Linked DNA regions of Saccharomyces cerevisiae S288C. The protein of the gene in region 1 binds, or shares a complex with, the protein of each later gene. Each region holds a gene or a part of one and is shown on either strand. Other genes may lie near its edges. The genes, in order: SEC24 and SEC23. A codon is read from its position in the direction of its gene.

Region 1 (5,132 bases):
AGTCGTTGGCGACTTCACTGGTGGAGGATCTTGTCTCATCAGTAAAATAAGGCACCAATTGCTCGAGACAAGTAGGCCATGAGTAAAGCCCGTGCGACCCAAAAATGGCGAGCTTAATGCTGTCGTCACCCCCACCCAATGCGGCGTGGCCTCTAATCAACTTACCATCCCAGTGGGTGTCTAGAAACATACAAGCTGCCTGAACAGGCTTTTCGTTATTGGTGAAGGGTCCGCCGTAACTTTTAAGGGCGTCCATGGCTATCCCAAAAAGGGCGCCGGTGTTTTTCCCTTTGGAATTCTGTTGAGCTATGTCAGGGTCCTGGATTTCCTTCACCGTCTTTTCCGAACGAACTACATGTATTTTGATGGTGTTTCTCATAGCAGGCCGTTCGAACAGCGTGTCCCAGGTAAATTCTTCAACAAAGGGAAACGTCCTATTTCCCATACTGTTTCTCAGCATTTGCTCGTTCGTGTACGCTTGCATGAGTCTGGCCCCAAGTCTTAGCTTCTTGATTGCCAATTCGAGGCCATTCCCGCCCTCTCTGTCCTTCTGTTCTCGAGGAGAGTCAAACTGTAAAGGCGAATCCTTGGCCAAGATCAGACACAGGTGTACGGGAGGGTTCTGCGTCAGTGGTGTGTAGTAACATACGATTGTCCTAGCGGTGTTAGTGTCTGTAACAAAGGTCAACTTGTTCTCACCAGGAGTCAATATCACAGTGGCCTTGAAGAACTGATTATGTATGGGGTAAGTAATTGGAGGCAATTGTGGATGCTGCACTTGAACGGTCTTCGCACCATTTTGCTTATTGCATTTTCCGTGCACGATAAGACAAGGAGAAACGATTTGCTCGTTCTCTCTCAGGTTGAATAGATCAATATCCTTCGAGCCTACCATTTATTTCTTTCTCTTCGAACTACTACTTCCTTTTTTTTTTTTTACTGTATACGATCTAATAATAAGAAGAAAGAAGAACTCCTTTTAAATTTCCTTTTTCTCTCTATTTTCCGGCGACCGCTACTCTTAAACGTCCAAACCAAAAAAAGATCGAGAGAATTGACTGCGCCAAGACACATGAACTTCTGAAACCTAAGAAAGCCTGACTGTTCCTAAGGTGATCTATATTTATATACAACATCATGCTCTTAAAAGAATAGGTTACGTAATTAATTGATGGAAAATTTCAGCAAATTTCCGCCTAGAATGCCGGGTAACAAAAAAGTAATTAGTGCTATGTTTGGGTGATAGAATCGTGTCACAAATATACATAGCACTGACAAGTGTGCATTTTGCACTAACCACTGCTATAAGTTTTTCAGCTTAATGCAGTCTATTCAGGCACTATCTGGGCTTGAAAAACAGTCTTGGACATGGCCACTGGAGCAGATTTGTTAACGCTTAGCTGTTCTCTTTTTTTTTTTCTTGTTTTTTCCATTTACGGCAGAAGAAAATGAAAACTGGAAGAACGAAAACGAAGAAAAACAAAACTATGTAAGGAGGATGGTACATCAGGAAACAGGCCAAAAATAGCACTACAAAAAGGTTTTATCTGGCACTCAGGTCCATTTTTGCCGCATTGAAACAGACATAAATATATAAGTCTGAGACCATCTGCAAAATGTCTCATCACAAGAAACGTGTTTACCCACAAGCTCAGCTCCAGTATGGACAAAATGCCACCCCTCTACAACAGCCAGCACAATTCATGCCTCCGCAGGATCCTGCTGCAGCTGGAATGAGCTATGGTCAGATGGGAATGCCGCCACAGGGTGCAGTCCCTTCCATGGGGCAGCAACAATTCCTAACCCCTGCTCAAGAACAGTTACACCAGCAAATTGATCAGGCCACCACTTCCATGAACGATATGCATCTGCACAACGTACCGCTAGTCGATCCTAACGCTTATATGCAGCCACAGGTTCCCGTGCAAATGGGCACACCTTTGCAGCAACAGCAACAACCAATGGCAGCGCCTGCGTATGGCCAACCTAGCGCCGCAATGGGCCAAAACATGAGGCCCATGAACCAGTTGTATCCAATCGATCTGTTGACGGAATTGCCTCCTCCAATTACCGATCTGACCTTGCCTCCCCCACCGTTGGTTATTCCTCCAGAAAGGATGTTAGTTCCTTCTGAATTGTCCAATGCGTCTCCAGATTATATCAGGTCGACCTTGAACGCCGTTCCTAAGAACAGCTCCCTGCTGAAGAAGTCTAAACTTCCATTTGGGCTTGTTATCAGACCATACCAACACTTGTACGACGATATCGACCCGCCTCCATTGAATGAAGATGGACTTATTGTCCGTTGTCGTCGTTGTCGTTCTTACATGAACCCTTTTGTCACTTTTATCGAGCAAGGCAGAAGATGGAGATGTAACTTTTGTCGTCTGGCCAATGACGTTCCTATGCAAATGGACCAGAGCGATCCAAACGACCCAAAGAGTAGATACGACAGAAATGAAATCAAATGTGCTGTGATGGAATATATGGCCCCAAAGGAATATACTCTAAGACAACCACCTCCAGCCACTTACTGTTTCCTGATCGATGTCTCCCAGTCCTCTATCAAGAGTGGGTTACTGGCCACTACCATCAACACCCTTTTGCAAAATCTTGATTCCATTCCAAACCATGATGAAAGAACCAGAATTTCCATCTTATGTGTAGACAACGCCATTCACTACTTTAAAATCCCATTGGATTCTGAAAACAATGAAGAGTCCGCCGATCAAATCAACATGATGGATATTGCCGACCTGGAAGAGCCTTTCTTGCCCAGACCAAACTCTATGGTTGTGTCCTTAAAGGCCTGCAGACAAAACATTGAAACTTTATTGACCAAGATTCCTCAAATCTTCCAATCTAATTTAATCACAAATTTCGCACTGGGCCCCGCTTTGAAATCCGCTTATCATTTAATTGGTGGCGTTGGTGGTAAAATAATTGTTGTGTCAGGTACTTTGCCCAACTTAGGCATAGGAAAATTACAAAGGAGAAATGAAAGTGGTGTTGTTAATACATCCAAGGAAACTGCACAACTACTTTCCTGTCAAGACTCATTTTATAAGAATTTCACCATCGATTGTTCTAAAGTACAGATTACTGTCGATTTATTTTTGGCTTCTGAAGATTATATGGACGTTGCATCACTATCGAATTTGAGTCGTTTCACTGCTGGTCAAACGCATTTCTATCCTGGTTTTTCAGGCAAGAACCCAAATGATATTGTCAAATTTTCCACTGAGTTTGCCAAGCACATTTCCATGGATTTCTGTATGGAAACCGTAATGAGAGCCCGTGGTTCCACAGGTTTGAGAATGAGTAGATTCTATGGTCACTTCTTCAATAGATCATCTGATTTATGTGCATTTTCCACCATGCCAAGAGATCAATCATACTTATTCGAAGTTAACGTTGATGAATCCATTATGGCTGACTATTGTTATGTTCAAGTAGCGGTACTTTTATCTCTGAATAATAGTCAACGTAGAATAAGAATTATAACATTGGCTATGCCAACCACGGAATCGTTGGCAGAAGTCTACGCATCTGCTGACCAATTAGCTATAGCGTCGTTTTACAACTCGAAGGCGGTGGAGAAAGCATTGAATTCCAGTTTGGACGATGCAAGAGTATTGATCAACAAATCCGTGCAAGATATCTTAGCCACGTACAAGAAGGAAATAGTGGTGTCCAACACTGCAGGGGGGGCCCCATTGAGGTTATGTGCCAATTTGAGAATGTTCCCATTGTTAATGCATTCTTTAACTAAGCATATGGCATTTAGATCTGGTATTGTCCCAAGTGACCATCGCGCCTCGGCCTTGAACAACTTAGAATCATTACCTTTGAAATATCTAATCAAAAACATCTACCCTGATGTTTATTCGCTGCATGATATGGCTGATGAGGCTGGGTTACCAGTGCAAACTGAAGATGGTGAAGCTACTGGCACAATTGTTTTGCCTCAACCAATCAATGCTACCTCTTCGTTGTTTGAAAGATACGGTCTATACTTGATAGATAATGGTAACGAATTGTTTTTGTGGATGGGTGGTGACGCTGTACCAGCGCTAGTATTCGATGTGTTTGGAACACAGGATATCTTTGACATTCCAATTGGCAAACAGGAAATACCTGTTGTTGAAAATTCTGAATTCAATCAAAGAGTAAGAAACATTATCAACCAATTGAGAAACCATGATGATGTCATCACTTACCAATCATTGTATATTGTTAGGGGTGCCTCTTTGAGCGAGCCCGTTAACCATGCATCTGCTAGGGAAGTTGCAACGCTAAGACTATGGGCTTCTAGCACCTTAGTGGAGGATAAGATTTTGAATAACGAAAGTTACAGAGAATTCTTACAAATCATGAAAGCCAGAATTAGCAAATAAGGCTAAAAGGGAATCAATGATAAAAAGAAACTGTATATTTTTGTTGGTTGCATTTTTGCTTTCCAATTATATTATGTATATTGAACAGTTACTTTAATTTTTACTTCTATATTTCTTTTCTATTTTCATCCATGTTATAAATAAAAGATACAGTAAAAGACTTATGGATTAACTTAAGGAAATGAAGTTGAAACAAATTATACTAACTATCGGATAGCTTTATTTGTTTCAATGCATATAATCGACCTTTTTAAGCCAGAGTTAACTTTAAACCTTTCAGAATGAATTGGTAGATGTTCGGAGTTTATTTTGTCGTCCAAATAAGCTTCAAATTCAGTGATGCTACCACCGACTCCAAAATAAATATCCTTTGCGGCTACGTAAGTTTTGACATCGGTTTGTGGTAAATTGTGTATGTCAAGTATTGTTTCCGCTATAACGGGCAAATTGTCAGGTTGATAAATTGTTTCTGAGGATAATGAAAGGACTTTTTGGCTACCTGAGAGTACTTCATGGATCAAATTACTAAATTTACGTCCCCACGATCCTGATATAAGAGTGACGCTGATATTCCTGCTTTGTACATCGTCGTAAAAGGCAGCTAACAGCTTTGAGGTAAGAAGCAGTTCCTCATTATTTATTGGAATATCTTCACATTCGTCTTTCTGTAAGGCGTACCATTGTTCCTTTGTCAAAACCGTTTTAGCCCATGTTATAACCAAATTCGGTATGGTA
Region 2 (4,621 bases), on another chromosome or scaffold:
GGCGCCAAACTTGAAGACGTAGAGCTCCTTAAGTTGTTGCAAGTATTGGATAATGACTTTACCTGACAGTTTGGATTCACCTTCCGTTCTCACGCCGAAAGTGAATGGCACTTCGCCGATCGCCACTCTAGGGTCTCTTGGAAGAGGAAGCTTGGCGAGAAGCTCGAGGGCAATCTTGAAACCTTGCGAGTTGATGTCCCTAGGGTTGCAGTTTTCGAGGTACTTCTTTTGTAGACCGAAGAACCCGCTCATGGGGTCGGAGGCGATGGTCAAAGGTCTGGCCATCATTCTAGCAGTGGAGGAAATGACGCGTCTGTACATAGGCCAGTCCTTGTCAATGCCGACACCTGGGGCATATCTGGTGCCCAGAGTAAAGGCGTGATCGTGCAAAGACTCGAACAACTTGGGCACGGTCTCTGGAGGGTGTTGTAGGTCTGCGTCCATGCATACCAGGTACTGACCCTTGGCCTCGTAGAAACCCTTAAGCACGGCGGAGGATAGACCACGTTCATTTGTCCTGACGATGATGCGGACGTTGTAGCCTTGGTGAGCTAGGGCGTCCACCTCCTCAACGGAGCCATCCTGTGAGTTGTCATCGACAAAGATCAACTCGGTCTTCTTGGCCATTTCAGGGCTCATGCCGGCAAACAATCTGGTTGTTAAGGGTTTGATGTTCAGCTTTTCATGGTAAGCGGGAACGATAACAGAGTATTCGATGCTCATTGTGGGTGCGTGTATGTTTGTGTGTAATTGAAGCGATAGCGTTATTACAATAGCGGTCTATATGAGTTAGGAACACGTAAGAATACTGAAAATTTTTCAAATACTGGAAATCCTTTATTTTTCCACGCTATTTGTCATGCGAGGGAAATCCAGAGGCAGGAATAAGGAAGAAAAATAGAACAATATAAAGCAAGAAAATAAAAAAAAAATACGCGATGCGAGTGCTATAGAATGATATTGTATTACAGTAGAGGGCGTATGTAAATATACTGGTATGTAAGGGAGATGAGCACAGTCGTCTTAGTTCGGCAGCTCCCTGATGTACAGCACGTTATTGCAGCGGATGAATATCTCGCCCAGGGTGCCGTGCGAGACACCCGCAACAAACTCTTCTGCTTCGTTCAGCTGCAGGTTAAAGTAGTTGTCCGTGGACACGAGCGTACCTCTATATTCGGTGCTGTTGAACTTAAGCTTGACGCCTACACGATGGTTGACCAGGCCTTTGAGGAACGGCTTCGGGTTCACCGGCTGCATCGCGCTGATATCACTGCTCTCGCTCATTGTCTTGTTGTGTTGTGACGTAGTGTGTGGTGTGGTATAGTACGCGGTGCTGTGTGTGCTGTGCTGTTTTTGCGTTGCTCATAGAACCGTTGTTTCTTGCTCTTACCATCTCATGTTCATATATGTTGGGGAAAAGAGGTGGAACAAGAAAAGTTACCCGGACGGCAGAGCGGTTGTTTTGCCTGCTTTGCCATAATACAGGATGGGATCACACACCCCCCAAGCCATGCTACAACTTGGAAGAGTGCAATTCAAGTTGGTTGTCCTCAGTAGTTTGAGAGATTGCGCTAATTTTGTTTTATCACCGTTATTTACTGTCAGTTGAGATTTGTCGCTTGCGACGACTAGCCCGCCGCCTCTCGTTTGTTACAAAGGAGGAAAGTTCTAGCAAGAATAAAAGAAAAACACGTTTGAAAAAAGAAAAAAAGATACTTGTTGTGATCTTTCCACGTTCAGCAAGACACACAATTAACTGAAGCCAGTGTTTATCTGTCTGTCGCCTGCCTCCCCTTCCTCTTTTCTAGCCATGGACTTCGAGACTAATGAAGACATCAACGGGGTCCGTTTCACCTGGAACGTGTTTCCCTCTACTAGAAGCGACGCTAACAGCAACGTCGTCCCTGTGGGCTGTTTGTACACACCTTTGAAGGAGTATGACGAATTGAACGTTGCCCCATACAATCCAGTTGTGTGTTCCGGTCCACACTGTAAGTCGATTCTAAATCCTTACTGTGTGATTGATCCGCGCAATTCGTCCTGGAGTTGTCCCATCTGTAACTCCAGGAACCATTTACCTCCACAGTACACCAACTTGTCACAGGAGAATATGCCGCTAGAGTTACAGTCCACCACCATTGAGTACATCACCAATAAGCCCGTTACCGTTCCTCCCATTTTCTTCTTTGTTGTGGATTTGACTTCGGAAACCGAGAACCTCGATTCGCTAAAGGAGTCTATCATCACTTCTTTGTCTCTATTACCTCCCAACGCGCTGATTGGGTTGATCACTTACGGAAACGTTGTTCAATTGCACGATCTGTCCAGCGAAACTATTGACAGGTGCAACGTGTTCAGAGGAGACAGGGAGTACCAGCTCGAAGCGTTGACGGAAATGTTGACCGGCCAAAAGCCTACCGGCCCCGGCGGTGCTGCATCTCATCTACCGAACGCCATGAACAAAGTTACGCCCTTCTCTTTGAATAGGTTCTTCCTGCCCTTGGAACAGGTCGAGTTCAAACTGAATCAATTACTGGAAAATCTGTCTCCAGACCAATGGTCTGTTCCAGCGGGTCATAGGCCATTAAGGGCCACAGGTTCCGCTTTGAACATTGCATCTTTGCTTTTACAGGGCTGCTATAAGAACATCCCAGCAAGAATCATTCTTTTCGCCTCCGGTCCAGGCACCGTGGCCCCAGGTTTGATTGTTAACTCAGAGTTAAAAGATCCCTTAAGATCCCACCACGACATCGATTCTGATCACGCGCAACATTACAAGAAGGCCTGTAAGTTTTACAACCAGATTGCACAAAGAGTTGCCGCCAATGGACACACTGTTGATATTTTTGCCGGTTGTTACGATCAAATCGGTATGTCTGAAATGAAACAGTTGACCGACTCTACTGGAGGTGTGTTGTTGCTAACCGATGCCTTCTCTACCGCGATTTTTAAGCAATCATACTTGAGATTGTTTGCCAAGGATGAAGAAGGGTATTTGAAGATGGCTTTCAATGGTAATATGGCAGTCAAGACAAGTAAAGACTTGAAGGTACAAGGTTTGATTGGGCATGCTTCTGCTGTAAAGAAGACAGACGCTAACAACATCAGTGAATCTGAAATCGGTATAGGTGCAACGTCCACCTGGAAGATGGCTTCCTTATCGCCTTATCACTCGTATGCGATTTTCTTTGAAATTGCAAACACTGCGGCTAATTCTAACCCAATGATGTCTGCCCCTGGTTCAGCAGATAGACCTCATCTAGCATATACTCAATTCATCACTACTTATCAACACTCCTCTGGTACCAACCGTATCAGAGTCACCACGGTCGCAAACCAGCTTTTGCCCTTCGGTACTCCTGCCATTGCAGCTTCTTTCGATCAAGAAGCTGCTGCCGTTTTGATGGCTCGTATTGCTGTTCACAAGGCTGAAACCGATGATGGTGCAGATGTTATTAGATGGTTAGACAGAACTTTGATTAAGCTATGTCAAAAGTACGCCGACTATAATAAAGATGATCCTCAATCTTTCAGGTTGGCTCCAAATTTCTCACTGTATCCTCAATTTACCTATTATTTAAGAAGATCCCAATTCTTAAGTGTCTTTAACAATTCTCCGGATGAAACTGCATTTTATAGACATATTTTCACAAGAGAGGATACGACTAATTCTTTAATCATGATTCAACCAACTCTAACTTCTTTCTCAATGGAGGACGATCCACAACCGGTATTATTAGACTCTATCTCCGTCAAACCCAATACCATTCTATTATTAGATACATTTTTCTTCATCTTAATATACCACGGTGAGCAAATCGCTCAATGGAGAAAAGCCGGTTACCAAGACGATCCACAGTACGCAGATTTCAAAGCTCTTCTTGAAGAGCCAAAATTAGAAGCCGCAGAATTGTTAGTAGATAGGTTCCCGCTACCAAGATTCATTGATACTGAAGCCGGTGGTTCTCAAGCCAGATTCTTGTTATCTAAATTGAATCCTTCCGATAACTATCAAGACATGGCGCGCGGAGGATCTACAATTGTCTTAACAGATGATGTTTCCTTACAAAATTTCATGACTCACTTACAACAAGTAGCCGTCTCTGGTCAGGCATAGGAGCAACGGCTTTCTTTTGTTTTATTTGATCGTTATTAGGCTTTTTGTATAATATAAGGCCTGTTCAGTCCATTGCGCGTGCAAGAATTTTCCTTTGGACCTGAACGAAAAGAGTAGAGGATTTTATATAATATATTCTCCGTCTTTTTTGTACTGCGTGGCCTTTACTACGAATATCTGTATCTAATTTCTTTTCTAACTTTTTTATTACCATTACTACTACTACTATTATTATTATTATTATTATTATTATTATTATTATTATTGTGTATGACTATAATGCTTTACTGCCTCCAATTATGCTTTTTTTATTATTTTTTTTGGCTGAAACTACAGTATAGTAGGTATGTATATATCTAAAACTCAAAAAGTGGCATGTCTAATGTAATACCATCAAAAACAATGAAATTATTTAATGGAGATAGCCTTTTACCTAGAATGTTAATGACATCCTGCGCTACAGCACCCCCTATAATGGCCGCGACAGGAGCAAACTCGATACCT

What was found.
Region 2: the proteins of SEC24 (region 1) and SEC23 are in contact, whole or in part, in a crystal structure (PDB 1M2V), measured with the Saccharomyces cerevisiae proteins. Residues at the interface, in NP_012157.3 of Saccharomyces cerevisiae: His355 (codon at 2,679), Gln372 (codon at 2,730), Ile373 (codon at 2,733), Asn374 (codon at 2,736), Met375 (codon at 2,739), Met376 (codon at 2,742), Asp377 (codon at 2,745), Ile378 (codon at 2,748), Ala379 (codon at 2,751), Asp380 (codon at 2,754), Glu382 (codon at 2,760), Glu383 (codon at 2,763), Phe385 (codon at 2,769), Leu386 (codon at 2,772), Pro387 (codon at 2,775), Arg388 (codon at 2,778), Pro389 (codon at 2,781), Asn390 (codon at 2,784), Lys409 (codon at 2,841), Gln412 (codon at 2,850), Ile413 (codon at 2,853); in NP_015507.1 of Saccharomyces cerevisiae: Val165 (codon at 2,303), Thr175 (codon at 2,333), Ile176 (codon at 2,336), Asp177 (codon at 2,339), Arg178 (codon at 2,342), Cys179 (codon at 2,345), Asn180 (codon at 2,348), Val181 (codon at 2,351), Phe182 (codon at 2,354), Arg183 (codon at 2,357), Arg186 (codon at 2,366), Tyr188 (codon at 2,372), Met196 (codon at 2,396), Gln240 (codon at 2,528), Gln249 (codon at 2,555), Trp250 (codon at 2,558).

The regions. Positions count from the first base shown.
Region 1 is NC_001141.2:156,650-161,781, reverse strand, and holds SEC24 (COPII subunit SEC24), read left to right. Parts: upstream 1-1,616; coding exon 1,617-4,397; downstream 4,398-5,132. Other genes in the region: YIL108W (putative metalloendopeptidase), read right to left, coding at 1-895; HPM1 (protein-histidine N-methyltransferase), read right to left, coding at 4,604-5,132. UniProt on the Saccharomyces cerevisiae protein: Component of the coat protein complex II (COPII) which promotes the formation of transport vesicles from the endoplasmic reticulum (ER).
Region 2 is NC_001148.4:896,857-901,477, reverse strand, and holds SEC23 (GTPase-activating protein SEC23), read left to right. Parts: upstream 1-1,810; coding exon 1,811-4,117; downstream 4,118-4,621. Other genes in the region: DPM1 (dolichyl-phosphate beta-D-mannosyltransferase), read right to left, coding at 1-723; mRNA splicing protein SMX3, read right to left, coding at 1,024-1,284; E1 ubiquitin-activating protein AOS1, read right to left, coding at 4,474-4,621. UniProt on the Saccharomyces cerevisiae protein: Component of the coat protein complex II (COPII) which promotes the formation of transport vesicles from the endoplasmic reticulum (ER).